Rhinolophus ferrumequinum: one gene and its partners. The protein of the gene in region 3 interacts with the protein of the main gene of each other region in a biochemical or structural test. Links are inferred from orthologs where the notes say so. Each region holds a gene or a part of one and is shown on either strand. Other genes may lie near its edges.

The links.
Region 1: the proteins of NRIP1 (region 3) and THRA form a complex in vitro, tested with the Homo sapiens proteins (4 studies listed by BioGRID). The link is inferred for Rhinolophus ferrumequinum from reciprocal best matches to the Homo sapiens genes NRIP1 and THRA.
Region 2: the proteins of NRIP1 (region 3) and NR5A1 form a complex in vitro, tested with the Homo sapiens proteins (2 studies listed by BioGRID). The link is inferred for Rhinolophus ferrumequinum from reciprocal best matches to the Homo sapiens genes NRIP1 and NR5A1.
Region 4: the proteins of NRIP1 (region 3) and AHR form a complex in vitro, tested with the Homo sapiens proteins (2 studies listed by BioGRID). The link is inferred for Rhinolophus ferrumequinum from reciprocal best matches to the Homo sapiens genes NRIP1 and AHR.

The regions. Positions count from the first base shown.
Region 1 is NC_046304.1:36,563,732-36,571,434, reverse strand, and holds the start of THRA (thyroid hormone receptor alpha), read right to left. Parts: upstream 3,014-7,703; 5' UTR 2,812-3,013; intron 2,629-2,811; exon of another isoform or gene 2,472-2,628; intron 1-2,471.
Region 2 is NC_046295.1:74,340,979-74,347,943, forward strand, and holds the start of NR5A1 (steroidogenic factor 1), read right to left. Parts: upstream 3,005-6,965; 5' UTR 2,997-3,004; coding exon 2,895-2,996; intron 2,768-2,894; coding exon 2,626-2,767; intron 637-2,625; coding exon 11-636; intron 1-10. Other genes in the region: translation initiation factor IF-2-like, read left to right, coding at 3,492-3,589, 3,722-4,757. UniProt on the Homo sapiens protein: Transcriptional activator. Essential for sexual differentiation and formation of the primary steroidogenic tissues. Binds to the Ad4 site found in the promoter region of steroidogenic P450 genes such as CYP11A, CYP11B and CYP21B.
Region 3 is NC_046285.1:11,293,672-11,300,694, forward strand, and holds the start of NRIP1 (nuclear receptor-interacting protein 1), read left to right. Parts: upstream 1-4,018; 5' UTR 4,019-4,329; exon of another isoform or gene 4,330-4,490; intron 4,491-5,124; exon of another isoform or gene 5,125-5,315; intron 5,316-5,539; exon of another isoform or gene 5,540-5,865; intron 5,866-7,023. UniProt on the Homo sapiens protein: Modulates transcriptional activation by steroid receptors such as NR3C1, NR3C2 and ESR1. Also modulates transcriptional repression by nuclear hormone receptors.
Region 4 is NC_046303.1:21,923,136-21,930,729, forward strand, and holds the start of AHR (aryl hydrocarbon receptor), read right to left. Parts: upstream 3,006-7,594; 5' UTR 2,348-3,005; coding exon 2,283-2,347; intron 1-2,282. UniProt on the Homo sapiens protein: Ligand-activated transcription factor that enables cells to adapt to changing conditions by sensing compounds from the environment, diet, microbiome and cellular metabolism, and which plays important roles in development, immunity and cancer.

The DNA of each region.
Region 1 (7,703 bases), on a different chromosome or scaffold from region 3:
TGATTCTCTTCCAGTGGGTGAGTGTGGAAGGGAGCTCCTCACTGGCTTGGTTAGGAGCTAGTTGGATGTGGCCTGCACATCCAGCTTCCACTGGTCTGGTGTCTCCTGGCAGAGCCTGCCAGCCTGAGAGGTCAGCATGGGCAGTTGGTGACCCCTTTCCCTTCCCCCCTTTCCCAGCCCCCAAAACTTGCTGGCCTGCAGCTGCAGCACTGAGGAAGTGCAGGATGTCCTGAACAGCCAGCTGAGCCCCCCGCCCCCCACCCCAACCTCTCGATGACCCCAGAGACAGGGCAGGCGGGGACTGGGGGGCGGGGTTTGAGTATTAACAACCGGAAAACTATGAAGAACATCACTGCCAGTTCCCAGCTCAGAAAGGAGGTTGTGGCAGAAACAGACAAGAACAGGGGTAGACAGGGGTAGCGACAGGGTGAGAGTTATAGTCTGGCAGAGAAACAAGGAGAGGGAATCAGACACAGCAAGACAGAGCAACAGAGAGACAGCGTTAGAGAGAAATTCCAAGTCAAAAATACACATCACTCACCCAGACACTCACCAGCATACGGCCTCCTAAGGAAAGCTTCCAAGTTTAGACAGGAGGGCAGAGGTGGGAAAAGGAGCCAGACTCAGGGTGAGAGGCAGGAACTCAGCTGGGGGTGAGTGAAAGGCCCCCAGAAAAGGCTCAGACAAATGACTCCAGCAGGGGCAGCTAGATCTGCCCCACCATTTGTTTTTAGGGTGGGGATAAGGACTGCAGCACCCACTCCCTCAGCAGCCAGGATAATCCCAGCTGCTGGAAGTCACTGGACACTGCTTCAGGCCTGTGATTCGGCCCTCTGGAACCCCCCTGCCCCTACTCTTTGCTCTAGTTTCTCTGTCCCTTAAAAAAAAAAAAAAAAAGCTGAGCCTGGAGGAAGAAGACAGAAGGAAACTTAAGGGAAAAAGTCCATGACTATGTGTGCATCTAGGGGTGTGCGTCTGGAGTTGTCTGGACACCACTGTCGACCTGGACCTGTGACTGTGGACCTGCGCCTTGTGAACACCTTCTGCACCTGAGTCCCTGGGACTGTGTGCAAATCAGTGCACCTGTGTCCGGAGTTCCCACAGTCAATCCATTAACAAGTATTTACAGAGCACTTCCTGTGCTAGGCTCTGGGTGGGATCCAGCACTCTTGGAGTGATTCTGCCAGGTCTCAAGCTCACTATCTAGTAGGGTGGGATAACAAGCAACGGAGAACATTATCACAAATGCATGCCTTGCACCATTACGCAGGAAAGTCTTTTCACACAAATTTAATTTCCTTGGGAGCAGGGGTTTTGTTGTATACAGAACCTCAGAGATCCACAGTAGAAGTCCAGGAAAATACTTGTTGCTAAGTTGTGTATACATGTGTTGATGTGTAACTACGTTTGCATTTGACTGAGTAACAGCGACTGTCACGGCAGGCGTTGATGCCTGTGTGACTGGGCTCATGCAAGCACGTGTGTGCCTGTGAGTGACAGGGTCTTTTGTAATGTGCGGCGGTGTGCAATTGCTCTGTGTTCATGTATGCATGCGATAGTGACTTTTTCTGTGTGGGTGACAGCGACTCCTCCTTGCCCCTGTGTGTGACAGCGTCTCCGTGTGACCCTGTGCGTAGGTATGTGCATGGGTCGGTCTCCCGTGGGTGTGTCCCATCCCTCTGAGCTCCCCAGTGCAGCAGCAGCCTGCCACTTCCCTTGTTCCCATGTGGGTGTGTCCAGTAGCTCCTGTCCTTGAGTACGCCTGGGTGTCCCTGGGTGTGCATGTGGCTGTCTATGTGGGCATATCTTGGTGTCTGCATGTCACATTTGCTTCCCTTCTCATCTTGGACAACAGTCCCCTTCATCCCTTCCCCCTCCTGGGGCCAGAGCCATCATTGAGGGGTGGGCTACCATCCCACTGGCTGCCCTCCTTCGACCTCCACCCCTGGAAACAGTGGCTCTCTCCATTGCCCCTATCACTGCCCCCCTCCCCAGGCCTTTCTTTCACACGGGACAAGGGAGGGCCCCAGACAGAGAAGGGGCACCAGAGGAGACACGTTGCAAGGGGAGGGGAAAAGGGGGGGTACACACAACACAGGTCCCTTCCTCCCTCTCTTCCCCAACCACCCTAGCTTGCAACTCTAATCATCTGGGGACCCTCAAATACACTCCCCCCCAACACACACACATACACACACACACACCTCCACCCCACCCCCAGCCGCGTTTTTTGCAATTAGGAGTGTTGCAACCAGAGAGCCATGCTCAACTGGGGAGGCGGGTGGAGGGGGGGGCTTCCCTCTCCCGGGACCCTTGCAAGCCCACTCCCCACGCCACACGTACTGCCCTCCGCAGCTGGAGGCAGCTTTGCAAAGGCCACTCGGCCTCGGCCTGGAAGGCTAGGGGTGGGGGCTGAGGGGCAGGCCTCCCGCGCACCGTAAACAAACCGCGGCGCGGCGCGGCGGGCGGGGGCGCTCGGCGGCCGGCAGCGGGGCCGGGCCCGGGAATGCGCAGCAGACGGGCCGGACAGAGGCCGGGCGGGCCCTCGAGGGGGAGGCCTGGACGCCATCTCCGCCGGCGAACCCTGGGGCCCACCGACCTCCTAGCAACACCTCCCTTCCTCAGGGCGTAAGTTGCAAGCTCCCGGGTTGTGACAGGGTCTCAGGGGCGTCGGGGGCAGGCTAAGGTTGGCGGCGGGTCCCCCCCGGACGCCCCCAGCCCGCCGGGAGCTGGCCAGAGAGCCCTGTGGCTTTGCATAATCAATCGTGAGGTATTTGCATATTAATACCCCCCTCGCTCCCTCCCCCTTACCTCGGCGTGGCGCGCTGGACAGGGCTGGAGAGCGACGCGGGGTCTCAGCGCCCCGTGCCGGGGGCGTCCATGGGGGGCCGGTGGGGCCCGGGCCGCCCGCCTCCTGCGCCCGGGTGTGAGTGCGAGTGAGCGCGGGGGGGCGGGGGGCGAGTGTGGCGGCCCCGCGGCTCCTCCGGCAGAGGCGGCGGCCGCTCTTGGCTCCTCCCTCCCCCGCCCCGCTCCGGCTGGGGCTCTTGCTCGGCGCGCCCGGCCGGCTCGCGGCTGCTCCCTGCAGGCCGCCTTGCCGCCGCCGACCCGCGCCCCCCGCCCCCCGCCGCGCCCCGGGACCCCGGCCAGCCAGCCGCCCGGCCGCCCCTCGGCCGCCTCTACACCCGCCCAGCTCGGACTCGCCCTCCCCACTCCAGGCGTCTCCGGCAGGAGTGATACTGGGTGACATATTTTGAAAAAGATGTCATTTAAAAAATAGTCTTCAGTTGCTGGAAGAATGGAAGGTTTTGGTGTTTGCACCATGGGGATGGAGAAGGGAGTATTGACGAGACGCCTGCACCTTATAAGTAGGGCGAAAGTCTAAATACCAAACCCTTGGAGGTTTCGAGTTTGTTTCTGAGTTCGGGTCTCTTCTCTGCCAGTAACTCACTGTGTGACCTTGAGCAAATCACCCCTGCTGTCGGGGGCAGAGCTTCCTCAACCTTAAAATACCAGGGTTCGGCAGGTGACCCCTGAGGTCCTTTTAACTTCAATCATCTATGTTTTAAATTCTTTTGGAGTTTTACTCGCCATTACTCGCCATTTACTCGCTTCCTTCCCCTCTCATTTCTAACATCATTACCTGATCCACTGCCTCCCCTTTCAAATGTCACCCTATTTCAATATAGGCTCTTTTTATTCACTGTCATCAGCCATTTCCTCAACAATCTGGTCCTCTTGCTCGGCTGGGGAGGGGGCAAGACTTGCTCTACCCCATCAACTCTCAGCTTCACAGAGGTGGTATTTCCTTCCATGTTTACCCCCACCAAAATCCAAATGGTATCAGGGCCAATTTAAGGAAGGCAGCCTGCATAAAAATGGATGCCCTTCCCCTACCATCCAGCTCCCACCCACCCCATTGCACACACACACACCTGCACTCATGGACATAAAACCATCCCAGTGACGCCAGAGCCCCTTTCATCTCGGGATCTCCGAGCGCCAGGCAGAGCTCTAATTACCCCAGCACCCCCTCTGGCCCCGCCGGTTCCCCTGCTGTCATTAGCCCAGTTTTACCAGCGGGGGCCACAGCCTTCCCACGGCTTTCAGGGCTGGGCCCTGTTTCCACAGTCTGCTGTTGGAGTGTGTGTGTGTGTGTGTGTGTGTGTGTGTGTGTGTGTGTGTATGTGAAGGGGGAGCTGTTCTACAAAAATCACTTGCTAAGTGTGGGGCTTCTGACCAACAGCCTATCTGAGTTGGGCTGCCCTGGTTCATCTCAGTCTCAGCCACCTGCATCCTCATCTCTGTTGCAGCCACTTCGCTTACAGGGGGCATTGGGGTCTACCGTGCATGGGGAGGGGATGGAGCATCTCTTGGGACCCGCTGGAATCATGGGGATGAGAAGCATCGCTGGGATGAAAGCCTGGGGCTGCAGAGTGGAGTGCTGGTGATGAGGGGTATGCCATGGGTGAAGGGAGCCTGCAGTGTGGAGTTGTGGCAGCTGCAGTAGGGAATGGAGGCTGCAGTATGCAGAGTCAGCATGCAGTCAGTGAACCTGTGGGTTCGGCCTGGGCTCACAGTGGACATGCAACAGCTGCAGCGTGGGGCAGAAGGCTGCAGCGTGCAGTGTGAGGTGCATTGAGGGTAGCTATCTGCCCTTGATACCACCTCCTGGGTGATCGGGTTTCGCTGAAACCCTGGGGAGCAAAGCTGTGGTGTGCAGCGTTCAGGGTGCACGCTCTACCCTGTGTGGAAATAGTCTCTTGAGATTGGGCAGCCCAAGGAGTCGGGGGAGAGAATCCCAAAGCATGGGATACATTTATGCTCTGCATCAATCAGGCAGAACCAGGAGGCAATGGAGAGGTCTAGCTGTCATCTAATTAGGGCAGGGTGACTGAGTCCCGAGGGAAGATGACAGTACTATGGTTTTGTCTCCCCTCCATTCTGGCTTCCCCTACCACATCTCTCTATGACGAAAGGCCTTAAAGATACTGGGTGAAGGAGACTTTTTGAAATCCTAGACCCAGAGCCATAGAAAATGAAATACCTCCTGATCTACCTTTTTTTTTTTTTTTTACCCCAAAGGCACAGTGGGGCACCTTGAACTCAAAGACAAGTGTTCACCATTCCTATCTTCTCCTTACCTCTCTCCCTGTCCTTGGCTCCCAATAAGGGCTGCTAACAGACCTGGGCAAGGGCAAAGTGAAGGGCACACTGCCTCTAAAGTAGACATTTGGCCAGATGCCAGGTCCCAGCCCAGGTCCGGGCTTATAGCCCCTGTCCCTGTGTTTCATGGCCCTTTCCACCCCTACCTACGCCCCAATTCTTGAAGTTTCTAGCTCTTCTCAGAGTCATTTCATCTCCAGCTCCTCTTCTTTCCTTACCATGAAATCCTCACCTGGGCTGTCTCCTCCCATCCCCCCACCTCTGCTTCAGGGCTGTCTATTGGGAGAACAGGAAGGTGGGGCACAAGTGAGGATGGATAGAGACCCTCCAAGGGGATATGCTTGGCAGCCCCCTCCCTCTTATATTTTCGTTGCCATGGAGGCAGCAGGAACAGCCTGTTCTCTGGGCTCCCATCAGAGCAGCTATGCCCAGGCCCCTCCCTCTCTTCCTTCTTCCTTTTCTCCCTCCCAGACTGTTGCTAGGAAGCACCCCAAGATTTCTCGAGGGCCCCACCCCTAGAAACCAGGGATCTAGATATCTTTCTGAAGAACTTCCCCCAAAAGCCTTGAAGCCAAGACCCCACACAGCATGCTCCTCTCTTGCCAAGAAGCCCCAGGCAGTTTGGGGAAACAAGGGATAGGCCCTCAACCAGCCTGTCTGGGCACTAGCTCTGTGGCCTGGGCCTCAACAATTCCACTCCCTGAACTCATTTTGACCTCCTGGATGGTGGCAGCAAGTGATAAGCTGTCCAGCAGAGACCCCTTGACTCTGCAGACACAGCCCCACTTATTGGGGAGTTCTGGGAAGACAGCAGAGGAAACTAAGGTACCGCCAGCTAAGAGAATTTAAAACCCAGGTGTTTCTTCCCCCTTAGTGATCTCTCAATCAAGAAAAGATGGTGGAAATAAAGGAAAGAAAGAGGGGACAGTTTATGGGAGCTAGGGATCAAGTGGCTGGCAGAGATGAGAGACAGCCTGGGGAATTAGCAAATAGTTGCACTGCTAAAAGTAAAGTAGACACTTTAATGCCCTCTCATCAATCATCTTTATCCTATCAGATACCCTGGTTATGGGTCACAAAAAAGGGAGCCAGGTAAGGGACTCAGGCCAGGCTGAGCCTGGCTTTTGGTAGCTGAGGCAAGAAGTGGGAAAAGTTGACACCTTCTCCATGACGTCTTTCAGGATTTCTCCTGCTTTTATTCATTCATTTGACACTTTTTTTTTTTTTGAGCATTTAATATGTGCCAGGTATTGGATCCCCTAAAGTTCCCAGCTTCTGGTTTCACTCCCACACAGAACCTGCTCATCCAGCCTTTGCCAAGAGGAGAGAGGAGGGAGGAGGTAAGGGACTATCTTCTTTACCGTAGAGTTTGGGTCTTACCATACCGCAGCCCTCCCCATCCAGTTAAAGGACACGTGGGCCAGGCTGGTATGGAGGCCAAGAGTATAGAGTGGCTCTCAGGACCTGGTGGGAGGGGCAATGCGAAGGAATGGCAGGCTGGCCTCCTTCTCTGCCACTGTCCAGGCCTAAGGATCATAGTATCTCTTTTCTCTGCGCTGGGAGTATGGAGAGGGAAGGTGTCCTTCAGGGTGTTAGAAAACTACTCCAAGGATGGTTCAAATTCTGCCTTTTACTGTTCTGGCTGGTCTTTTTCTTGACTTCTTGTGAGGTCAGTGGGAAGACAGAGATAGGAAACTGTAGGGGATGCAGGGCTGTTCCTGAGTTGGGGCCACCATGTAGGTCTCTCCCCCATCCTCCCTCCCTCCCCCAGATAGATAGAAAGCAGGGATTTTGATGTAGGGACTGGTGGGGCGAGGGAACTGCTTTGGAGCCAGCTGTTGTATGAGTGCGTGGGAATGACTCTCTTTCCCCATCCATCTGCTGCCAATTAACTCCCCACAGTGGGGGGACCCAGGCAAGCTTCCAAAAGAAAATATTCCATTAGGGGAGGAGACTGACTCAGTTTCCCTCTGTGCCTTATATGTTTGCCAAGTATTTCAGTGTTTCTGGATCTAGACTCTTACCACTTGTCCTTATACTTCTTTCTAGCCTAGATAAGGAATGTCTCCAACCCCTTGAGTACCAAAAACCCTGTTCCTCACAGCCTCTTACTCCACCCCAAGCCTATTCTAGCCTTTTCTGCTAGAAACTTTTCAGTGTTGCCATGTCACTACCTGCCTGGCTTCCATCTGCCCCTCTTCTCCAGCCAGACCCCTTTCCCAGCAAGACCAGCCAACATGATGAGGAGGTTGGGGCTCAGGGATAAGAGAGCAGAGGTGGGAGCTCAGCATCTACCAGCGCTGAGGGAGAAGAAACAGACAGCAAAAGGAAGTGGAGTGAAAGGGGGTTTTGAGAGGGACACTTTCTGGGGAGAGTTTCCCTGCACATCCGAAGGGGATATCAGCATCTCTTCTCTCATGCACTGGAGGATTATCATGGAGTCCCACCCTTGTGGGGAAGCCAGAGAGCTTGTGGGTCCTAAGAAGCTACTGTGGTGTGGAGGGAAGAGGTGGTGCATGGAAAGGCTGTCTCTGATATTT
Region 2 (6,965 bases), on a different chromosome or scaffold from region 3:
AGGTACTCACCTCCAGCTCCTTGAAGACCATGCACCTGCGTGCCCAGTCCACGATGGAAATGAAGGTCTGGTCAGCCATCCTGCACAGGAGGCTGAAGGCCGCAGGCTGGTCCGGGCGGCCTTTGGCCGGTTCTTGCAGGCAGCCCACGATGCGCGCCCGTACCTGGTCCTCGTCCGGCTCCAGCTGCAGCAGCTGCAGGATGAGCTCGGGAACGCCAGGCCCTCCAGAGAAGGGCTCTGGGTAGCCGTAGGGTGGCCCAGGCTGCGGTGGGCTGGCGTAGGGCTCTGGGTACTCAGACTTGATGGCACGGCCGGGGAAGGCAGGATAGAGGTAGCCGGCCAGGGGCCCGTGGGTGCCAGGCACAGCCATGGGCAGTGCTGGGGCCCCAAAGTCGCCTAGTGGCCCAGAAGGTGGACCAGAAGCCAGGCCCTTGGGCTCTGGCGCATGCAGGCCAGGGGGCAGCATGTAGTCCGGTGGGGGAGGGGGTGGTGGGGGTACCCCCACGGGGGAGCCTGTCTCTAGCTTGAAGCCATTGGCTCGAATCTGTGCCTTCTTCTGCTGCTTCAGGGCCCGGTCCCGCTTGTACATGGGCCCAAACTTGTTCCGGCCGCCCCGCATGCGGTCAGCACGCACAGCTGTGGACAGAGGCAAGGGTCAGGCTCACCCCCTCCAAACCACCCTCTGTACTGCCCCACGCACAGATCTTTCCCAAACAGATCTAACTGTGATACGCGTTCGTGGCTCCTAAGTCAATACGCTTTCATGGCTCCCTCTGCGTTAGGTGAAGTCAGTCTCCTTAGCCGGGCGCCCAAGGCCTTGTCTCCCTCATGAGACCCTGTGTTCTTTCCACTCCACCTTCCTCATCTCTCTGCTCCTCTTCGTCTTTACCCTGCCTTTGATATTCCTTCTGCCTCCAACCCTTTCCTTCTCTTCTGCCTGCTGAACACGCAGCCCTCAGATCACCACTTCCATGAAGTATTCTTGGATTCACCCAGGCAGAATCCACTGTCCTTGCTCGAGATGTCCTGCCTCTTGCCCACTCTCACCCCGCTGAACGGTACCATGCCATGTGACCCAGGCTGAGAGCTTCTGGGGGCTCACCAATAGGTTCAGGTTGGGCACAGGGCATGGCAGGGAGATGGAGGTAGGAAGTGGGCCCCAAACAGCCTTGTTCACACCTGGGTCCCAATATCTAGCTGTTTACTGACTGTCAAAACCCTGTTGCAAAATGACTCAAATTTGCCTTCAAATTTGAACCTGAGTTTAGAGTTAGCTCAGGCTCTGTGCTGGGGGAAGGAACCCCTTGCTGACCAGATGTCTCTCTGCCTGGCCACGAATATGTCACCAATTAGACCCAAATGTTGCATCTCTGCAGCTGCAGTGTGGCCCCAGCCCCTATTCAGACAGTACCCTATCCTGAGCTCCAGGAGAAGGAAGAGTAAGAGGAAGAGGGCAACACTCAGCAAGGGACGTGTCTTGGGGCGCCTGCCCGGCCAAGCTTCCTGCCACAGGGGTGGGTTGCCCTCCTCAGAAAGCTCAGGCCCCACTAGGGGCTTATGCTGCTCACAATAACCATCTCTCCTGGCCCCTGGGGACCTGGATCTGGGGACATGGGCTCTGGAGACAGGCCAGGAGACCTCCATCCAGGAGTCCTTCCTCTGTGGCAGAACTTGTGGTCTGCAGCTCTCCTTCTATGTTGTTTAAAAACTTTAGCCATCAGCTGCCTGCTCAGTGCAAAGCCCAGCTGGGGCCCCCAGGGTGGAAGCCTATGACTGTCCACCCTCAAAGAGCTTGAGTCTTTCCTCCCTCTGGACTGAGGGCTGAGGGTAGGGAGGCAAGAATGGGCCTGAGTCCTGTGGGGGAGATTGTTCCCCAGGCCCAAGCCCTCAGGGTCTGGCTAAAAACAGGGTGGGAATTCTTGCCTACTGAGTGAATCCTCTGGATGGATGAACACATGAACAGATGGGTAGGCTGGATGAGTGAGGGCTGCGCAGTGATGGTGGATAGATAACATCGTAAAGAATCTTGATAATAATAAAGCTAACCCGTTGAGCATTTACTGTTTGCCAGGTATGATATTAGGAGCTTTTCATACAATTCTCTCACTAACTCAATGAGGAAGGCACTGCGACGAAGCCCATTTTTCAGATGGGGAATCTGCAGCTCAGAGCTTAAGGAACTTGCTTAATGTCGCCCAGCCGGTAAGTGGTGGCACTGGAACTTGAACTCCAGTAAAGGTATTGAGCAGCCAAGAGGACTTGCTCTGGCTGGTGCTAGATGTCAGTGGGGGTGTTGCAGAACTTTTCACAGAGGGAAGAGCTCTGCAGGGCTCTGCCCAGTGCAGCCCACCCCGCCCAAGGGCTGGGGAGAGGCTCATCTTTCTGGGGTCCACTTTCACATACTTCTCAGCTCAACCCAGGCTGGGCCTGCACACATCCCTCACCTGGGCCGGACCGAGGCCAGTTTTTACCCCTGTCCGGCAGAGATCCGCTGGACTGTCACGTGAGGGGCCAACCACCGGGCCCCAGAAAGCGGCGCCCTCCCTTCTCTCCTGTCTCACTCCACCCCCTACACTCGCTCTGTCGGAGGTCAGGGGTCGGAGGTCCGCAGCGCGGCGCGCGCACCTTCCAGGCGCATCCCCACCGTCAGGCACTTCTGGAAGCGGCAGAAGGGACAGCGCTTGCGCTGCGTCTTGTCGATCTTGCAGCTCTGGCTCTCGGTGCACGTGTAGTGCTTGTTGTTCTGCACCGTGCGCTTGAAGAAGCCCTAGGGAGAGGGGAGTCAGCGTGGTGGGGGGCGACCCTTCTCTACCTCCTGGCAGGGCTTTGCCCCGCATTCCCCTGCGCTCGCCTCCCCGCCCCGCGCTTTTCTTGCCGGCCGGCGGCCCGCTCACCTTGCAGCTCTCGCATGTGAGCAGCCCGTAGTGGTAGCCCGACACTTTGTCCCCACACACGGGACACAGCTCGTCCAGGTCCTCGTCGTACGAATAGTCCATGCCCGCGGCGTCCGTCTGCGGAGGGAGGAAGGAGTCAGGTCAACGCAGGTGGGACGGCGACTGGCAGCGCCGCAGACCTGAGTCCCGGGGGTGCTGCAGCACCGCGGCCGCGCGCTCACGGCGCCCTCCTCCTGCCCGGCCTGTGGCCCCTGGGACAACGCCCTGGGCTAAGCCGCCCGAGGCAGGCCACCCATTAGAGCGCCCTGCGCGCCCCGCGCCGGCCTCTCCTTCCCGGTCCCCGTGGCTGCCTCGCGCTCCCCTCCCCAACTGGGGGCTCCTCCCTCGCTGCCCCCGCCGAGCCCCAGCGCGGACCCTCGCATTCGATGTGTTTCCATCCAGATTCGTTCATCAGAGAACAAAACCCCGATTCTGAGAAAATGAGATGGGCTCGGCAGCGCGGGAGATGCCAATGAACCCGGACGCAGTGGGGCCCGAGTGTTTTGGGATCTGACAGGGACGAGGGACACAGGCACACAGTTTGGGAGAGACAGAGAGATGGGCCGAGACGAGAGCGAGAGACACGGACCCGCGCTGCTTAACGGAGAGAGGACCCCCAGGATGACAGACACGAAAATCCTAGTGACAGAGACCCAGTGATGCCGAGTCAGAGAAAACCTGGAGAGACGAGAAAGACGTAGAGGCAGAGACAACGAAACAGAGAAAGAGAGAGCAGAGACACTGAGAGACAGAGGCTAAACGAGAAAACCTGGGAGAGACGGACGCAGAACCAGAGACATAGTGACAGATGAGACACGCCGAGAGCCAAGAGAAACCTGGAGAGACGGAGGAGCCCAGCCAGGTGGTCGGGACCTGAAGCCGCACGGAAAACGGCCGATCGGAGCCCGAGCTCCGAGGCGGGGCCCCGCGAAGTCAGACCCAGACGGGAACTCGAGCCGAGAGGGATGGAAAACGACGGCGCCCGGGACAGAGGGCCCAAAGGCCGGGAGAGACAAAGCCCGAGGCAGCGACGGCGACGGGAGGCGCAGCCCGTGCCACCGAGCCCGAGACGTCGGGCGGAGAGACGAAGAGAGGGCGCAGAAGAGACAGCGGGCGCCGGGCGGGGAGCCGCAGGCCCGGCGCCAGGCGCAGAGACCTCGGGCGGAGACCCCGCGGGCTCCCGGAGGCCGAGCCCAAGGCGGTGGAACGACCTCGGGCAGAGAGTCGAAGTCCCACGGAGGGAAGCGCGCAGAGCCCGGACCGGGAAGCAAGAAGGGGCGCGACGGCGGCCGCGGCCCGCGCGGCGCCCACCTGGCTGCTCCTGCGAGCAGCAGCGCCCGCGTCCCGCCCGCGCCGAGTCCCGCACCTCCCGGCCGCGCCGCCGCCGCCGCCGGCGATGAGCCGCACCCGGGCGCAGCGCCGCCCGCCCGCGATGACAGCCGCTCGGGCCGGGGGCGGGGAGGCGGGGGCGCGGGGCCTCGGCGCTCCCCCCACAGGCGCCTCCCCGCCCCCGCCGCCTCCAGGGCTGCTCCACCGCGCACCTGGGACCCGGGCCCCTCCGCCGCTAGTGCGCGCCGAGCGAACCAGCCGCCCCGGGCCCAAAGCCGGCCCCTCTATATCGGCGCGTGCTGTATCCGGGGGCGGAGGCCAGGCCGGCGTCCTCCCCACCCCAGGCTTGGCCCGCGCCCTCCCCCGCCACCTAGCCGGGCTCGCGCCTTTACCCTAACCCTCTGGGCGCACCCCCCACCCCAAGCCCCAACCCGCCCCCACCGCGGAGCCCCAGCGGCTCCGCATCAGGCAGGTGCTGGGCGCCTGGGAGCCTAGGGCCACCGGCCGGTGGTGGGAGGAAGAGAGCCCGTTTGCCAATTCAGCTTAGTGGGGGCGAGGGCCACACTAGGGGCGCTAGTCGTTTTGCAGCGTGGAGGTGGGTAAGGCCGAACGTTGGGGGCCGTGGCCAAGGCACCAGTTCAAGTCTCACTGGAAGCTTAAGCACACCTCCCGCCTCTCCGGTCCTCAGTTTGCTCATCTGTGAAGTGGGACTGATGATTGGCCTTCCTTGAGGATGGTCGTTCGGATGAACCGCAGTGGTGATGACAAAGCACGTGCGTGTACTGCGAGGCGATCAGTAGTGTCCATCCATGAGACCTGGGCAAACCCTTTCTCCTCGGTGGGCCTCGGTTTGCTCGGCTGGAAATGGGGATCGTGGTCATCCCACCCTGCGAGTTTTCCGAGGTTTGGTGAGGACCCGAAGCCAACGAGGGTGCGGGAGCTGGGAGTCGAGAGCCCGGGGCAGGAGAAACCCCTCCCCGCTCTGGTTCTGCGCTCCAACGGGTCTGGGGGCAGGGGAAAGGAGAGGCTGGCAGCCCTGGGCACAAGCGGTTCCCTGGGCGGGGACGGGCTGAGCTCTCGCTCTGCCGGGTCACTGTCGTGTTTTTTTTTTTCAGATGAAGCTGAGACGCAGGAGAAGAGGGCCGTCTGGCATCCTGCGGCTCCCCACCCCCTTCGGGCACCTAGGGTATAGTAGATTGTTGAGAGCAGCGAGACTAAGATGGGAAATAGAGCAATTAATTATGAATCTGCTGCGACGCAACCGACCCAAAGGCCCAGATCTGAAGGCTCGGACCCTTGGCTGCAGCCGGCTTCATCTGGGCCCCAGATAGAAGGCCTCCTGCTTTGGTTGGAGCTGGGGCCTTGATCTTGCGAGCCCAGGGGCCGAGGGCCAGGCGGAAGACTCCTCACAGACCACTCCTCATCTCTCTCAGCCGGCGGGCGGAATAACGGGCAGAATCTGCCTGGGATTTGCTGTGCAAGTTCGGGCAGGTCACTTAGCTTCTGTGACCCTCAGTTTCTCCGTATATGACATGAAAAAGAGGGGCCCTCCCTACATAAGGGGTTCTGCGGTTTCCAAGAGATTCTGTGGTTGAATCTTGGTGAAGAGGGAGGACAGAGAGCCAGAAGCACAGTTAGTTGCAGACTCCTCTACCCCTAGGCCCTGAGAAAGAACAGCATTTGCCAGAGCTGGAGGTGGGGGGGTCTACTGTCTCTTAACATCAGGGAGGGGCCCTCAGAAAGTGGAAAACAGGAGCAGCACCTCCTCTGCAGGGGGAGTGAAAGAGATTGAGGGGGACAGCTGGGCAGGGGGTCTCCTTTTGGCTTCTCTAGGGTAAAGCCCACTGGGGTCCCCTGGACATTGTTGAGGAAGACCCAGGGTATAAATAGAGCCCGGGCTGGGAGGCCAGGTGAGGAGGGGACGGGGCTGTGAGCCAGTCCTCCCCTTCTTCCTCCTCCTCAACCCTCCTCTTCCCCAGGGGTACTTGGGTTGACCCTCCAGGTTCCATTGCAGTCGCCTTTCAGCCTCAGGTTCCAGCTCATGAGGGGAATCACAGCCCCTCACGTACCTGCCCAGGGAAGCAAACATTGACCTGGCCCAGCCACAGACCCCAGACTGACAGATGGACACTGAAGACAGGGAATCCACAGAGACTCAGAGACACGCACAGAGACAGCAAAGATGCAGGCAGGGAAACCAGGGACGATGGACACACACACAGACTACCAGACTTGGGTCAACACAGCCCTGTGAACACTGCCCCCCCTCAATAGACAGCAGGACACCCCAGACCCCATTGAGTCTGTCCCCATAGGCCTAGTTCCTCCCATCAGCCGTCTCGGGAAAAGGGGGGTTACATGATGGGAGGGCAGGTCTGGGGAGATCCCCGGCCCCTTCTCTGCCCAGAGCAGCGGGCACCCGTCACCCAGTAGAGCAGGCAGTGGCCAGCCCAGGCCGCAGGGAGGCACTGAGGAGGGAGGCTGGCCATTAGAGGCCTGGGCCCAGGCCCTCACTTACGGAGCGGAAGGCGAGCTCTCACGCTGGATGAGGGTGGGCAGGGGGCACCGGGGGTCCGAGGGGAGGCTCCGGCAGCCCAGGTTGGGCAGTGGTGACGCTGGGCACACGGAACTCCTTCACGCCACGGCGGGCGGCGGGCGGACAGTAGGCTGGCTCTGTCCAACCGTCCTCCTCTTCCCCGCCCT
Region 3 (7,023 bases):
TCATTGCTGTGCCTGCCTTTTTCTCACACACTTTCGGCTGGTTTCTGTTGGTTAGTGGTGTTTAGCTATACTGTTATAACGACCACTCTATTTTCAGACTTTTTTTTAAGATCCAGTTTTCAGGATTTATTTTAGTGTAGAAATTGAGTGCCCTGGTTTTGCCAGTTCTTGGCACTCAAGCCCCACTGAAAGTAAAAGGCTCCAATCTCATTAGGGAAAACTGCATAGTAACCTGCAGACAGGGTGTCTAAACATCTTTATTTTAGCTCCTTAGACCTTTCTCAGTACTCAGGGCACTGCAGCACATCCTAACTGCTGCAGCTTCCAGCAGGTGACTGCCTCAAACAAACGATGGGGTGGAATTTACAGTCCTCAAGTAACTGGGTAGGGAGACTTGAAGAGCAAAACCCTGGGCCTCTTTATCCAGGAAGATGCTTGACAGGAATTAGCATAGTGGTAGTTCTGTGTTCTAGGGAAGACCATTTTTTTAAAAGCTTATTCAACCCCAAATGTATAGTGCTTTATTTCTGCCATATAGCCAGTTTACATTTTTAGTCCACCACCAGAGTTACTGGAGACAGTAGTTGTATCTACAATATGGTTAATGAGTACACAGTACATAAAATATAAACGTTGCTGCTTCTCTAATTGGCATAAAAGCCTAGATGCAAGAAAGTAGTCTTTATAACATAGTATAGGTAAACACCAGTAACCAACAAATAAAACCTGAGGTTTAACAAGATTTAGGTTTTCATTTTTAAAAATGTCCTTTAACGGTACTATTCAAGATTTCATTCATTCTCTAAAGCTGTGCTGTCCAACACAGCAGCAATTAGCTACATGTGGCCATTGAGCATTTGAATGTGACTAGTCCAAATCGAGATGTGCTATAGGTGTAAAAGCCACACTGGAGTTTGAAAACTTGGTGTAAATAAAAGAATACAAAATATCTAATGAATAATTTTTATGTTGTGTACACATTGAAATAATACTTTTGACATATTGGATTAAATAAAGTATGTTATTAAACTTAATTTTACCTTTTTATTTGTATTTTGAAATGTAGCTACTAGAAAATTTAAAAGTACATATGTAGCTTACATTTGTGGCTCAGTCTATATTTTTATTAAACTGTGCTTCTCTCGAGGCTGAGACTAACTACATCAGCGTGACTACACTGGAATTCGACCTGTACTTGTATATATTTTTGTCAGTTGTCATAGTTCATTAGTCACTAGTTCAAAGTTTATAATGTGGGTTCAATACTTCTGAATATATATTTTTGTTTTCTTCACACTGTTCTACTTTTAAACGGTGTTTGCCCTCTCCTGAGAACCCCTTTCCCACTTTGCCTACTTGGCAAATTCTTCTTACCTTTTAATAGTCAGTTGAAGCATTATTTTCTCTGTAAAATTTTCTCTGAACTCCCTTGTTCCACACCTGCACCCCAAGTAGAAATAAACACTCTGTTCTCTGGGATAAGACAGTATCTTGCCCAATATCTACGAAATGCCTACTGTTTGCTGAGCACAGTGATAGGTGGTCGAGGTATCCAAATGTGAACGAGAGGGATATGGACCCTGCGACTGTAGTGTTTGCATTTAGAGTGGGATACAGACATGTAAACACCAGGTCACAAAATGATGTGGAAAATGCTCTTATAGGAGAGATCAGGGAGCACATATATACAAAGCTCTCCCAGACTACTTCTTTGTGGATAAACATAGTGAGCCTGTACTATAAGTATTTGATCCCTTAGGAACCCTTGGTTCACAAAATACTTATGTTTTTAGGTATATAAACTGAAGGACATCTTTTTCACATCACCACTGGTTAAAATGAGAATTGTCTTTAAAACACAAATTACTGGGAGGGGGTTGGGAGCCTGGGTCAAACAAGTGAAGGGATTAAGAAGTATAAATTGGCAGTTACAAAATAGTCATGGGGATGTAAAGTACAGCATAGGGAATATGGTCAATAACATTATAACTGTATATGGTGTTAGGGGGGTACTAGACTTATCAGAGGGATCACTTTGTAAACTATATAACTGTCTAACCACTACGCAGTACACCTGAAACTAACATAATATTGAATGTTGAATGGCAACTGTAATTGAAAAAAATTTTTAAAAATACAAATTACTGAACAGGCATTCTTATGTTACACATATGCCCCAGTATCCTTGCAATGACTCTCCTAGCCAGAAAATTCAGGTATTAATTTTTTTAAAAACAAAGAACAGTAACAAAATGGCTCCAATTAGCATGATTAAGTAAAAATGAATTCCACAAAAGGTGTGCAATTTACTTAACATTAATGCACTATCAAAAAGAGATCAGGATTTCAGTGATTGGATTTCTGTGGAGTTGAGAGGATAGATTAATAATAAGAGGTGAATGGCGCTGTTAAGTCATGTGACAAGTGGCAGTAGGGTTTTTTACACGAGTGTTGAAGGGCAGGACTAATGCTTGGCTTGTTGGGTTAATTGTGTAACCTCACGCATTAGGAGGTTGTTTATCTACCAATCTCAATGATCCAAAACCTAGTTAGGAAGGAAAAAAAAAATGTTTTTCAAAGCAACATTTGAGCAGTCCAGATATCTATCCCAAAGTCTATGCACTAAGGTTCACCTGCCTTACTCCTTGGTGAGCTGCACAGAACCTATTTAGTTTTACTTTACATTGAATTGTGACAAGTGAGGCTATCTGGATTTCCCAGTCTGCAGCAGACTAGAAGCTGCAAATCGGAAGAGGAAGAGAATATCAGCGACAGACGTGTGCTGGCAACACAGAAAGGACAACAGATTGTTGGTTAGTGAAGGGGGAGAGAGAGGAACTATAAAAGGCAGAGATAATCACTAGGTCAGTGTCCTAGAGTCCTTTCCTGTAGCCATTGGTAGCTCACATACCTTCTGGAAGCATCCCTAACACCTAGGAAGAAGCCTTAGCGCACATTGAATGGGAACTTGATGTATTTGTTGAATGCAGTAGAACCTACTACGATAAATACTTTTTATAAAATTAACCCTGAATTTTCAAGAAAAAGCCAAAGGAAGTCCAGTAAATTGCTTAAGAGAAACATTGATGATACATGTTATAAAATCTTTGTACAAGTTAAAAAGAATTAAAAAAATAAAGTGACGCCTTAGAGGGCCAAGCTCTAATTATGCTGATCCTCACTTAATTTGAACAGTTTGCATCACTCCTGGATGAAGGATGTACTATACAACAGCAGACTTAGCACTAAGTTCCCTTGAGCAGCTTTCAAACTGCGGTATATGCAAATAATAAGCTATCATATGAGAATTAAACTATATAGGATCACAACAGATTGCAGTTGAATCACTAGGTGATGTAAAAGATTGTTCTAAAATTCACCATCACCATTAAGCAGAGTAGTCCTACTATGTGCCTAGCCCTACTATGTACTAGGTGCTGGATTTATTAAGCATTAATTTGAAAAACTGCTTTCACTTTTAAGATTGTGAAGATATTCCAAAACTCTCATTCATATTTTTAAAGCATAAATGAAATTTTAAATGCACAATACAGCCATTACATAACAGGCATAGAATACTGTTTTATGACTTGCATAGTTCTTTTTAAGCACACTAGCAACTCTATTTTCAAAAGCTATATGATTCTAAAGGATATGAAAACCTACATATAAAAACGGAGTGCCTCATTTGTTTTGTGTAATAAGTGTGATAACACAGGCATGCCATTTCGGAGTTTAGGGTGAGGCTTTAAGCCGTACTTTGGTGTTTCTATATCAAGCAAAAACAATTTCAGCAACAGCACTCATTTCCCCCTCGTCTTTTTTTTTTTTCCTGGCGAGTTACTAAATGCTAGATGCTAGAGTCAAAAAGAAACCTGACATCTGGGGAGGTGTTGAGGGGGTGTTAATAGTTATAGTTAGATGTTTGGGGAGCGTTGAGGATAAGATTTTATAACAGCAAATACAAGAAGGGAGAAATTATGATCTCTCCTCCCTCCACTTTCTCTCTTCACCAATCCATATTCCCTCAATTTAGAGGCGGGTTCAGCGAGATTAGGCTGCAGGAAACCCAGAGGCTCCACAGCGCTGCCGCCCGGGCCTCGTGATGTAATTGTTATTTCTTATTCCGAGACTGAACCGTGGAGAGCTGCCGAAGAAGTGGCAGCCTTGTTCCTTTCGCCTTGTCTGGCAGGGTCAAACTCTTCCCGGGGATGAGTATATTCGCTGACAAGACTCCGCTGGTGACTTCGCAGTGACAAAGCAGCTGAAGATAAAACCCTGCTCCTGGGTCCTTCGTCCGTCCAAGGAGCTGAACGGGACACTCCTCAGGTCTCCTTCCCAGTTTTCCTCTTGGAATCACTCCGCATTTATTCCTGGGTGCCTACTACGTGCTGGGCGTGGGGTCAAAGTGACCTGGAGTTAGTGCCCGTCCACCCTGTCCCCCTAAGATTAAAGCAGGACACACAGATCACAAGGTGGTGAAGTTGGGGGTGAGTGAGAGGGAGCCAAGGGAACGCGTGCTGTTGGGTGAAATGGGAGGAGGCGCCAGCACCCAGGCGGGGACCCTGGGCGTCCCGGCCCCCAGGCTGTGCCCCAAACGCGAGCCTTTGGCCTGTGTAACGAGAACGACGCCCCGGGCCCCAGGGAGGAGCTGTCCAGGCGCCTTCGGCAGTCGGGGGCGGCTGGACAGAGCCGGGAGCCCGGGGGACGGCTCGGGTGCGAGAGGCGCCCATCTCTCCCGGCCACCGCGGTCCTCCCGCTGCCTCGGGGCCCTACAGCCCCCGCCCGGCCGTTCGGAGGGCGGGCAAGGAGGAAAACAACACAACAGAGGGGGCTCCTCAGCTCCCGTGAGCGGCCGGGACCCGCGTGGCTTCCTCCGGCCCCGTGACAATGGGAGGGAGGGGGAAAAAAGGGTTAAGAAACTTGGCTGAGGAGCTGAATGGCGTGGAGCGGCGAGGGGAGGGACTGGGCCGCGGCGGACTCGGCGGCGGAGGGAGGAGCGCGGCTGCGGGCGGGCGGCGAGTGAGGCGCTCAAAGTCAGCCTCGCAGACATTGCAGCAGAGCCCCGAACTCGGGAGGCGGCGGCGGCGGCAGCGGAGAAGGAGGAGGAGGAGGCGGCCGCGAGGCGGAGGGACGACCCGGCCCCACGCCCGCCCGCGCGCGCCCGCCCGTGGCCTCGCGTCCGCCGCTGCGCTTGGCAGCGCTGCGGCTCGGAGGGAAGAGCTCGCCCGGGCGCCGAGGGAGGACGGGGCGGCAGGGCGCCTTCGTGGAGTGAGCCTGACGGAGCCCGAAGCTCGGAGCCGCGGCGGCCTCGGGTGAGTGGCGGCCGCAGCCGGGGGGCTCGGAGGAGCGGCCGGCGGCGCCGCCGGAAACGGCTCGGGAGCGCGGCCCGCGGCGGCGGCGGCGGCGGCGTTGGCGGGCAGGGCCGCGGGGGCGTCGGGGCGGCGAGGCCAGCGCGACCCGCGGCGAGAGCGAATGCAGACAGCGGGGAGGGCTCGGCGGCGGGGAGGAATCGTTTCCGGGGGAATCCCGCCTCTTCTGCCGGCTCCGAATCTCCCCGGGACCTCGGGGGGCCCGGGCAGCGGGGCCGGCAAGTTGTGGAGTTGGCCCGGGGCTCACTGGCCGAGCTGTGCCAGTCCTGGGTCGAAGGGCGGCCGTGTGCCCTGCGAGCCCGGCCAGACGCGGGGGACCGGGCCGGGGTCGCGCCCCGCTCGGCTGCCCCCTCGGCCCCGAGTCTGGGGCGCTTCTCGCCGCGCAGCTGTAGGTCCTGCTGCCCGGGGCGTCCTGGGCGGCGCCGGGCGCCGCTCCCCGCCTATCGCCCGGTGCCTCCCTGCTCTGAGCTTGCCTGATTCCCGGCCAGGAAAAGTGAGTAGGAAAAGGGACAGCGCTCCCAGACCCCCAGCCCCACGCGCGGCCCGTCGGCACTGTCCTTCCCCCTCCCGAGTGCGAGCGCCCTGGACCCGAGGCCTCAACCATCAGCTTTACCCCTGAGCCAGAAAACGGACTCACATTTAGGGTGAGCCCGTGGAGATCTTGGGAGCCTTCTTTTCTCTCCCCCTTCATCTATGTTCTCCTTACTACTAGTGATTGTTGTTGTTTTATGAAGGGTTTCCCTGGAAATATTCCACAAACCCTCCCATTCTTTCCAAAATAGTTGACAAATTTTCATCAAGAGTTGGTTGGTGTTCAGTCTGAAGGAACAAAGGAATCAACTGTGCCTGAGAGGCGAACGAGCTGGGAGTCAGTGACACATGTTGATCTCTGAAGCATTACGGGAGTTTCTACCTTCTGTCCCATTAGTGACTTAATAGGCTTCTGGGGATAGTAAAGTAACAGAATGATAAATACTTTTGAGTTTTTAAAATATTTTTTAATAGGACATTTTATTTGGAGGCAAAAAAAAAAAAAAAAAAAAATTCCCAGCTCCAAGGACTTTTCACTCACTTGGTGGAACTGAGTTGGAGTTTGTTTCCAGTAATGTAGAAGATTAAATGTGAGATTGTACAGGAAAAACTGTCTTTAAGGGAAGGAAGATTGTCTATAGATGTCCAAAGGAAAAATGATTGTCAGTTTTTATATGATAAATTCTCTTTACATTTTTGGGGAGGCATTTCTGAAGTAAAGGGCTTTGGTAATTCATTCTTTAAAGTTATGAATTGCGTTGAACCTGCTTATTAGTGAATCATAGGTTTAGCAAGTGGGTGGCATCTTCCTGATGTAATTATTCAATGTTTAATCACCAGTTTGCTACCTTTGTTGAAGAGACACTGAAGTAAGTGGACGTTTTAAACAAATGGTGCTTCAACTGCTTGGCACCTAAGTGTGGGTTGCTGCCTGGAAGATGTTGAAATATTTTTCCTTCGAAGTAAGTTGTACTGGTTTTGCTCAGCCATTTGGTAATGTGGATTGGGTTTAACTGGTTCAGAGACTAGTGGATTCATGACCAGTAGTAACTTTTCTCTGCCTGCAATTAGTTCCTGGAGACAAAGAAGAGGCAGTCAATGGAACAGCCACTGTAGGCTG
Region 4 (7,594 bases), on a different chromosome or scaffold from region 3:
TTCCAAAATTTTATAGAACTATATATTTAGATGGCTGTCTTATCAACAGCTCTATAATTATGCTACAACATATTCTCTCTTTAAGTAAAATAAAATAGCTTTCACTTAAGAGGTCAAAGTTAAATCTCAAAAGCATTTTCAGTGCAAAGATGTGTTTTTCTGACAATGTTGGCATTATTTTAGACCCCATTAGCTACAAATAGTAATTTAACTTAAAAATATCCATGTTAAACTTAATATTAGATTTTATGGCCGCATTCCTAAAATGAACTTTAATTAACTGCATTATAAAGCTAACCGTTTTTCACTCAGGCAAAACTAATTTGTAAACAATTTCATGTGATTCTGTAAATGCCAGCACTAGGCTTTTCTTATGGAGCAATGAAGTGACATTTTAAGGCATTTATATGATTAGAAGCAATGCATGGTGCACAATAAATATCTGATAAACATCTATACTAAATAAAATAAAATAGGGGTAATGTGGAAAATGCTTTAGCAACACTGTATTACAAGAGATTATTACATGCAACTTTATTAAAGTCTTAGGAAATATATTAAAATATTAAGATAAAAGATACAGCTTACATAAAAATAAAAGGAAAATGCAGTATGTGTAAAGGGAAGATCTTTAATAAAATGTTATCTATAAGTCAAAAATGTTAAACTTTATAAAAATGAATACAAAAATAAGGTATATGACTTTTTTTTTTAAGTCATCTAAGCCTTTTTGTAACACACGACAAAAAAAATCAGTAACTTAAAAATCCACTAGGGAGATCTCCAAGTTTTCTGACTATATATAAAAAAAGTCCATGATGTCTCTATTATAAATTATGGTAAGTGTGCTACTGTATTAATAAATACATAGAATAGGCATTTGCAATGCCTCTCAACTTTAGCCATCAAGGACAAAGCCAAATTAGACAAATCACTCTACTTTTGCTAGTTTGTAAATCAATGTCCCAGAACTGCCAAGACAAAAAATTGCTGACTCGGCAGTATTCCTGTCAGCCACTCTGCAGCATAAGACTTCTAAATTTTAATCAGTCGATTTTATAGATGAATATCCTCTGTTAACGCCAAGTCTAGACCTGAATGCTCTTCAATATGCTCTTCATATTGAAATTCTAAAAGAAAGTTAAAACTCCAGAATAATTAAACTCTTACACCAGTTGGCGGATTTAAATATAAAGCTTAAACTACTTTTCTGGTTTGGATTCGTGGTCTAAGTTAAGTTTTAGGCAAAATGCACACTTCTAGTTTGCTCTGAGTAAATCTGTAATGTGTTCTTAAAATTGTTTATGAAAATTTGAAAAACGTGAAGTAACTCAGAGATAACAAGGAATAAACACATGAATACAGCCAACTCACAAAAGTAAATCTGTCTCAACCAGGATTTATTGTTCTGAAAAAAATTATTTTAAAGTATTTGCTATCTCACACAAATATCCCACCAAGGCAAACAAAAAAATCTGTCTGGAATCGCTCCATTAGAACTGACAAAACTTTGAAGTAGGGGGAAAAGGGAATTAGAGAAAGATATCAAGAATGAAAACGTCTGTTTCACTAAGTCCAGTTCCAAATCTGTTTTGTACTGTACAGACCCTAAAACCACCGCAAAAGCGGGAACTCCCCAAAAAGATAGCTGAAAAATCGAATCCCCCCACTGGACCTTGCCCACCAGACTCACTCACACCTGCTACCATCTCTATACAGTTTACCGATACGGCCATCTGGAGCCCTACAAAATCACTGCCAAATAAGTAAACAAAAGTGCAACGAAATGCCAATTACACCTGACCAAGAAATACCTTCAGAAGCACTTGAGCTCCCTTCTTGCAGTGGCACACGGTCAGCTCTTTAAAACACCTCGCTTTACCAGGAATGAGAATTATGACCGTCCTCTAACCGTAGAGGTTATTAAACATGGAAGGGGATTTCAAGAGGGGTTTATGCTAAATAAGCCACCAGCCCCACAGGGCAGACCAGAGCTGTCAACAAATTAGGACCACAGAAAACAGCTGCAAATGGCCGGGGGTGTGAGAGGGTTCGTGCGCGCCGGGGACGGGGGTCATTTTTTAACATACAATAAAAAATGGGGGAAAGAAATCTAAGGCCTGGGTCGCTCGACCCGCCCCCAAATCTCGATTCCACCGCTCGTGTCAGGAATGGACCTAATCCCCAGACCTCGGGGATTTGGGGGCGGGGTGGGGCCGCCTCTCGCCCCCGCGCGCCTGAGCGCCCAGCCCCCGCACCGAGGGCGAGCTCCGGACACTCACGTTTTCTGCACGGGCTTCCGCCGCTTGCGACTGGCGTAGGTGATGTTGGCGCCGTTGCCGTTCATGGTGCCCAACCGCGGGCGGCTCCTCCCCGGGAGCGGGCGCAGACGGCCGGGGCTCCGGGACCCGCCTGTGGCTGGGACGGCCGCGGCGGCCGGCGCCCGGCTCCACGAAGCCGCGCCCGCCTCACCTGCGTCCTCCCGGAGCGGCGGGAAGACACCGCGCCCTCTCAGCCTCGGCTCCCGCAGCCCCCGCGTCCAGGTGCGCCGCCGGGCCTGGCTCCTGGCGGGCGGCGGGCGGAGACCGGTGAGAGACGCAGCGCAGGTGCCGTCTACAGCCGCGGAGGCGGCGCGGCGCTGCCCCGCAGGTGAGGCGGGCCGGGCCGAGGAGGAGCCTGGGTCGCCTGTTTGGAATGCCGGCCCGGATCGCGCACGGTGGCGCCGCGCCCCGTGACCGTCGTCGCGGGTCCTTGGGTAAGGGAGGCGCCGCCGCGCTGCTCCCGGGGCTTCCCCAATCCTGGGTGCTTCCCGCCTGTGGAGCTCGAGCTCTGGACGCCACTCCCGGTGCCACCAGCTTCCGCTCGGCTATGCAGCTGCGCCTGGTCTGAGCCGGTGGTCCCGGGCACGCGCCCGGGACAGAATGTCAAGTGGACCTTCCCGGCGTGTCCTCCTATCGCTGAGCGCACCAGCTTAATTGCAGAAGTGCCCCCGACCTCTCTCTCTAGAGCCGCCCAGCCCCTTCTAGCCCCGCCCCACCCAACTTGGCCCCGCCCTTCACCCCCTCCCTTGAGGGCCCCACCTTCTCAGCACGTAGTGACGTAAGACGTAACGATGTCTCTCCGTAGCCATCTTCTTGAGGTCAAGGGGAGGATTCTGTGGCCACATTTCGAGCCTGGAAAGAAATGTGACAACAAATTACATATAGCCAAGTTCTTCATAGCTATACTGTCTAAAGGATAGACATGGCAAATAGTGAGCTTAACTTCACCTATATGAGAGACAGTGACTCAGCTAACTTTTGGCTAGGATTTACAGTAAACTGGCAGATAACCTGTGGGCCTCAATTTTCCTAGAGGGGAAGGCTTCAGAAGCCCACATTTGAGTTGGAATTTGAAAGCTGGCAGTTTCCTTGGCTTTTTCTTTTTCTTTTTTTCGTTTTTTGTTTTTTTGGTGTTTTTTTTTTTTTTTTTTGGTCTGTGTACTAGACAATATCTTTTTCCTAGCCAGAATAACTTTGTTTCAATTAGGTTGAAAAGAAGGAAGCAAGGAAGAAGGGAAGCATGAGGCATTGGAACATAATAAGTAGTGTGGTATGGTTGGACAGAGGAGCTAGAAGTGCAGTTCAGGAATTTAGGATCAAATCATAAAGCCTTGGTAAAGAGTCTAAATTTTATTCTGTAGGCAATGAAAGCCTTTTAGATACTTACTAGGAGATTGACTTTCTGGTGTCTTGGAAAAGTCACCCTGGGAGGAAAGTGCAAACCAGATTGATTACAAGGAGATCAAGATTTGATGCGGTGAGAGTAGTTAGGAGCTTGTTGAAATAATCCAGTGCAAGTCCACGGAAGTGGCAGTGGAATGGAGAAAAGAGAGAAAATACAGATGATAGAAAAGGATAAGGAAATAGGGGAAGAGAGAGTAATCTCAAATTTTTCCAGGATTTTTGACTCTTTCTGTGTGGTTAACTGTATATTTGTGTGTCAGGAGCAGAAGGGCATCCAGATCAAGATATCTGGGTGACATCTCATACCACATCCATTCCTACATTTTAAAATGTCTTCAAGCCGTTTCCACCTGGTCAGTTTGTTACTGCAAATTCAGTGCATCAATAAATTAACTCATCATTTTCTTTAGCTGAAACTTTTTCATTGGTGTTACCATTTTCCCGATCGACCTATGAATCATTTTCAATTCTGCTACCACTTATATATAAATACCCCAGCAAAAACTATTAAATTTTGTTATTTGCAATATCCCTAATTCATTTACCTCCACCTTATTCTTCAATAATACCAGCTCAAATGCCATACCATTCAGGATTCCTCACCTGATATCCCCTCTACACATTAATTCAATCAATAGATGTTTGCGGGGGAACTCCAATGTGCCAGGAATTGTGGGGAGACCATGGTGAACAAATCAGAAATTTACCATGCTCTTGGGGAATACTGTAATGGAGAAGTACATGATTCAGTATGATTTTCTAGTAGATAAATCTGACCTACTCATTGAAGCAAAGGTAGGCTTTCCCTTAAAAAATGATGATTGAGCTGAGGTCTGAAGGATAAAGTAGGCTATCGTAGGAGAAAGGAAGGGAAAGCAAGAACATTCCAAGCCAATGAAATAGTACAAGCAACATCCCTTTAATGAGAAGGAGGGCAGGTATGAAGGATTAAAACAAGTTCAGTATGATCAGCAGAGACAGGCACAAATGATCAAATTTGTGTTTCAAAAATATCACCATATCTGCAGGGTGTAGAACAAATTAAAGAGGGAGCAACAGAGTGGAATGGATAAAAGTAACACTCCTCAGGAAACCATTTGCGGTAGCCCAACCAAGAGATGACAATTATTGATACTAGGATGGGTGATTGTGGAAATGGAGAAAACTGAATAGATTCCATAGATATTTGGGAGGTCTTCGAAAATGGAGTGTATTTATGACAGTGAGGGAAGAGGACATGTCAAAAACATAATAATAGTTTTCTGGATTATGTATCTAGCTATGTGACAATGGCATGTACTAGTGGGAAATTAACTTAGCTTTGGATCTCATGTTTGAGGTACCTTTGAGACATCGAAGAGAAGATATTAAGTAGACCATAGAATATACAGGTTTGTAACAAAGATGTATAAGCTTGAGACAAATTCAGAAGTCATTGGCATTTAGGTGCTGAGAGCATGGAAATTGTAGGGTGTGAATATATACTGGAAAAGAAGTATGGAACCCCAAAGAACTTCAATATGTACTATTAGCTGGATAGAAGAAGTTTATGGTCCTGTAAAACTGATTGTAAAGATTTGCTAGAATGGTAACAGAAGAGTAAGGGGACTATTGTGTCATGGAGGAAAAGGTAGAGAAATGTCAGGAGTGGCTAACAGTATTGAATGCTGTTGAGAGGTTCAAATAAGATGAGAACTGAAAATGTCTTTTTTGGCTTCTCAACGTGGGGTCATTGGTGACTTCTGTGAATACTATGTTGGTGGACTAATGGACCTGCAAGTCTGACTGAAGTGGGTACAGAATTGAATTGAAGATGAAATGACATTGGCAAACACAATTTCTTTTTTGAAAATTTGGGCTGTGAAAGAGTGAGACCTAGGATGGTAGCTAGGGGGAGTAAAGAGTTAAACTAGATTTTTTTTTTTTTTTTTTTTTTTTTTTTAATGCGTGATGCTTAAATAGTTGAGGGAGACTGACTGTAAGAAAGACAAGGAGCAGAAAAGGAACCATAGATATTAAAAACAGGAGGGAATAAGTGCCAAAGCAGAAATAGAGAATTAGGATTATAGTAGATTAGATAATAGCAGAAATAGACTCTCTAGTGCTTTACTCTTCAAAGTGGTCCACAGCTTCTCATGGGAGTGATAAGAAATGCAGAATCTCTGGGTGTCCTTACTGAGTCATAGTCTAAATTTAACAGGGTCTCCTAGGTGATTCAAATGTACCTAAAGTTTGCGGAGAACTCCTCTACAAAAGCTGGGGAAGAGGAGAATGGTGGGTGAGATGTCGTAGGCTAGTAATTTAGGATCAGAAAGATAAAGGAGATGTGATGAGGAGGGTGTTACAACATGAGCTACAAAGGAATAGTGTGTTTTGTGGTTGATGGGTTGATGGCTTTTGTTTTAATTTTACAGGACCATAAAGTAAAAGGGTTCTGGGAAGTGGCAACAGGGAACTAGGTGGACATCAACCCTGTATCATGGATGTGTGATGAGAGAAAATAATTAGGCACCATTTGGGAGAACTCTTAGGAAAATGATAGCCTCAGAGAGAGCCAGATTTTAGTATGTATGAAGTCTCATCAATCAACCTTATAATAATTCAGTGTTGTTGCGGTTTTTTTTTAAGTCCACTTTTTTTTTTATTCAAGTTTATTGGAGTGACAATTGTTTGTAAAGTTACATAATTTCAGGTGTACAATTCTGTAATACATCATCTATACATCACATTGTGTGTTCACCACTTCAGAGTCAGTTCTCCTTCCATCACCATATATTTGATACTGTTTACCATCACCTACCACGCCACTCCCCCCTTACCCTCTGGTAACCACTAAATTATTCTCAGTGTCTATGAGTTTTTGTTTCTTCATTTGTTTGTCTTGTTCCTTTGTTGTTTTCAGTTTTATATGTCACATATCAGTGAAATCATATGGTTCTCAACTTCTTCTGTCTGATTTATTTCACTTAGAATAATAATCTCAAGATCCATCCATGTTGTCACAAATGGTACTATTTCATCTTTTCTGATGGCAGAATAGTATTCTATTGTGTATATACCACATCTTCTTTATCCAGTCATCTATCGAAGGACACTTTGGTTGGTTCCATGTCTTGGCCACTGTAATTAAATCCACCTTTTTAAAGGTTTTTGGTTATTTGGTACAATCATTCTCTTATTTTGTTCTACTTACATACCCTTATATTCTGTTTGACTTTAAGATTATTTTCATTATCCAGAAATCATATAATGCTTTGTTATATTCCATTCTTAGTTAAGTAATGAATCTTTGTATAACCAAGATTAAAATAGAATGTTGATAAGATTTTTAGAATTCATTTTATTCTAATAGTGACACCATACACTTCCCTTAACATTTTTGCTTAGTGTGTCAATAAAATTAATCGTTGTAGTATAGTGACTTGCCACTTTCTAGAAACTATCACTCTCTACTCCTAATATCAGCATTATAGAACATAGTTTTCGAGGTGTGATTCGTGGCCATCGCTAAATTTTTAAATTTTTTATTAGCAATTTTTATGTAGTAACATGAGTTTTTTTCCTTATAACAATTAATTTGCCTATAAAAGTTTAAGAATATTTGACTTGCCTTATCAAAAGCAATGTTATCCTTTTATTTAGTTGAGGTGAGATTGCTTTCTGAGGTTTCAGATGCCGAAGTATGTCTATGGGTTCCTTATTCCTGCTAAATATTATGAAAAAAAGAAATACATTTTAGCAATGCTGTTATAAATAGCTGTTCTAGAATAAAGAAATACAATCAGAATGAATGCTATACCTATTCTGTCACAGTACATGCATTCATTCATTTCATTCAGCAAAGTGTTTTAGTTCCTATCATATACTAA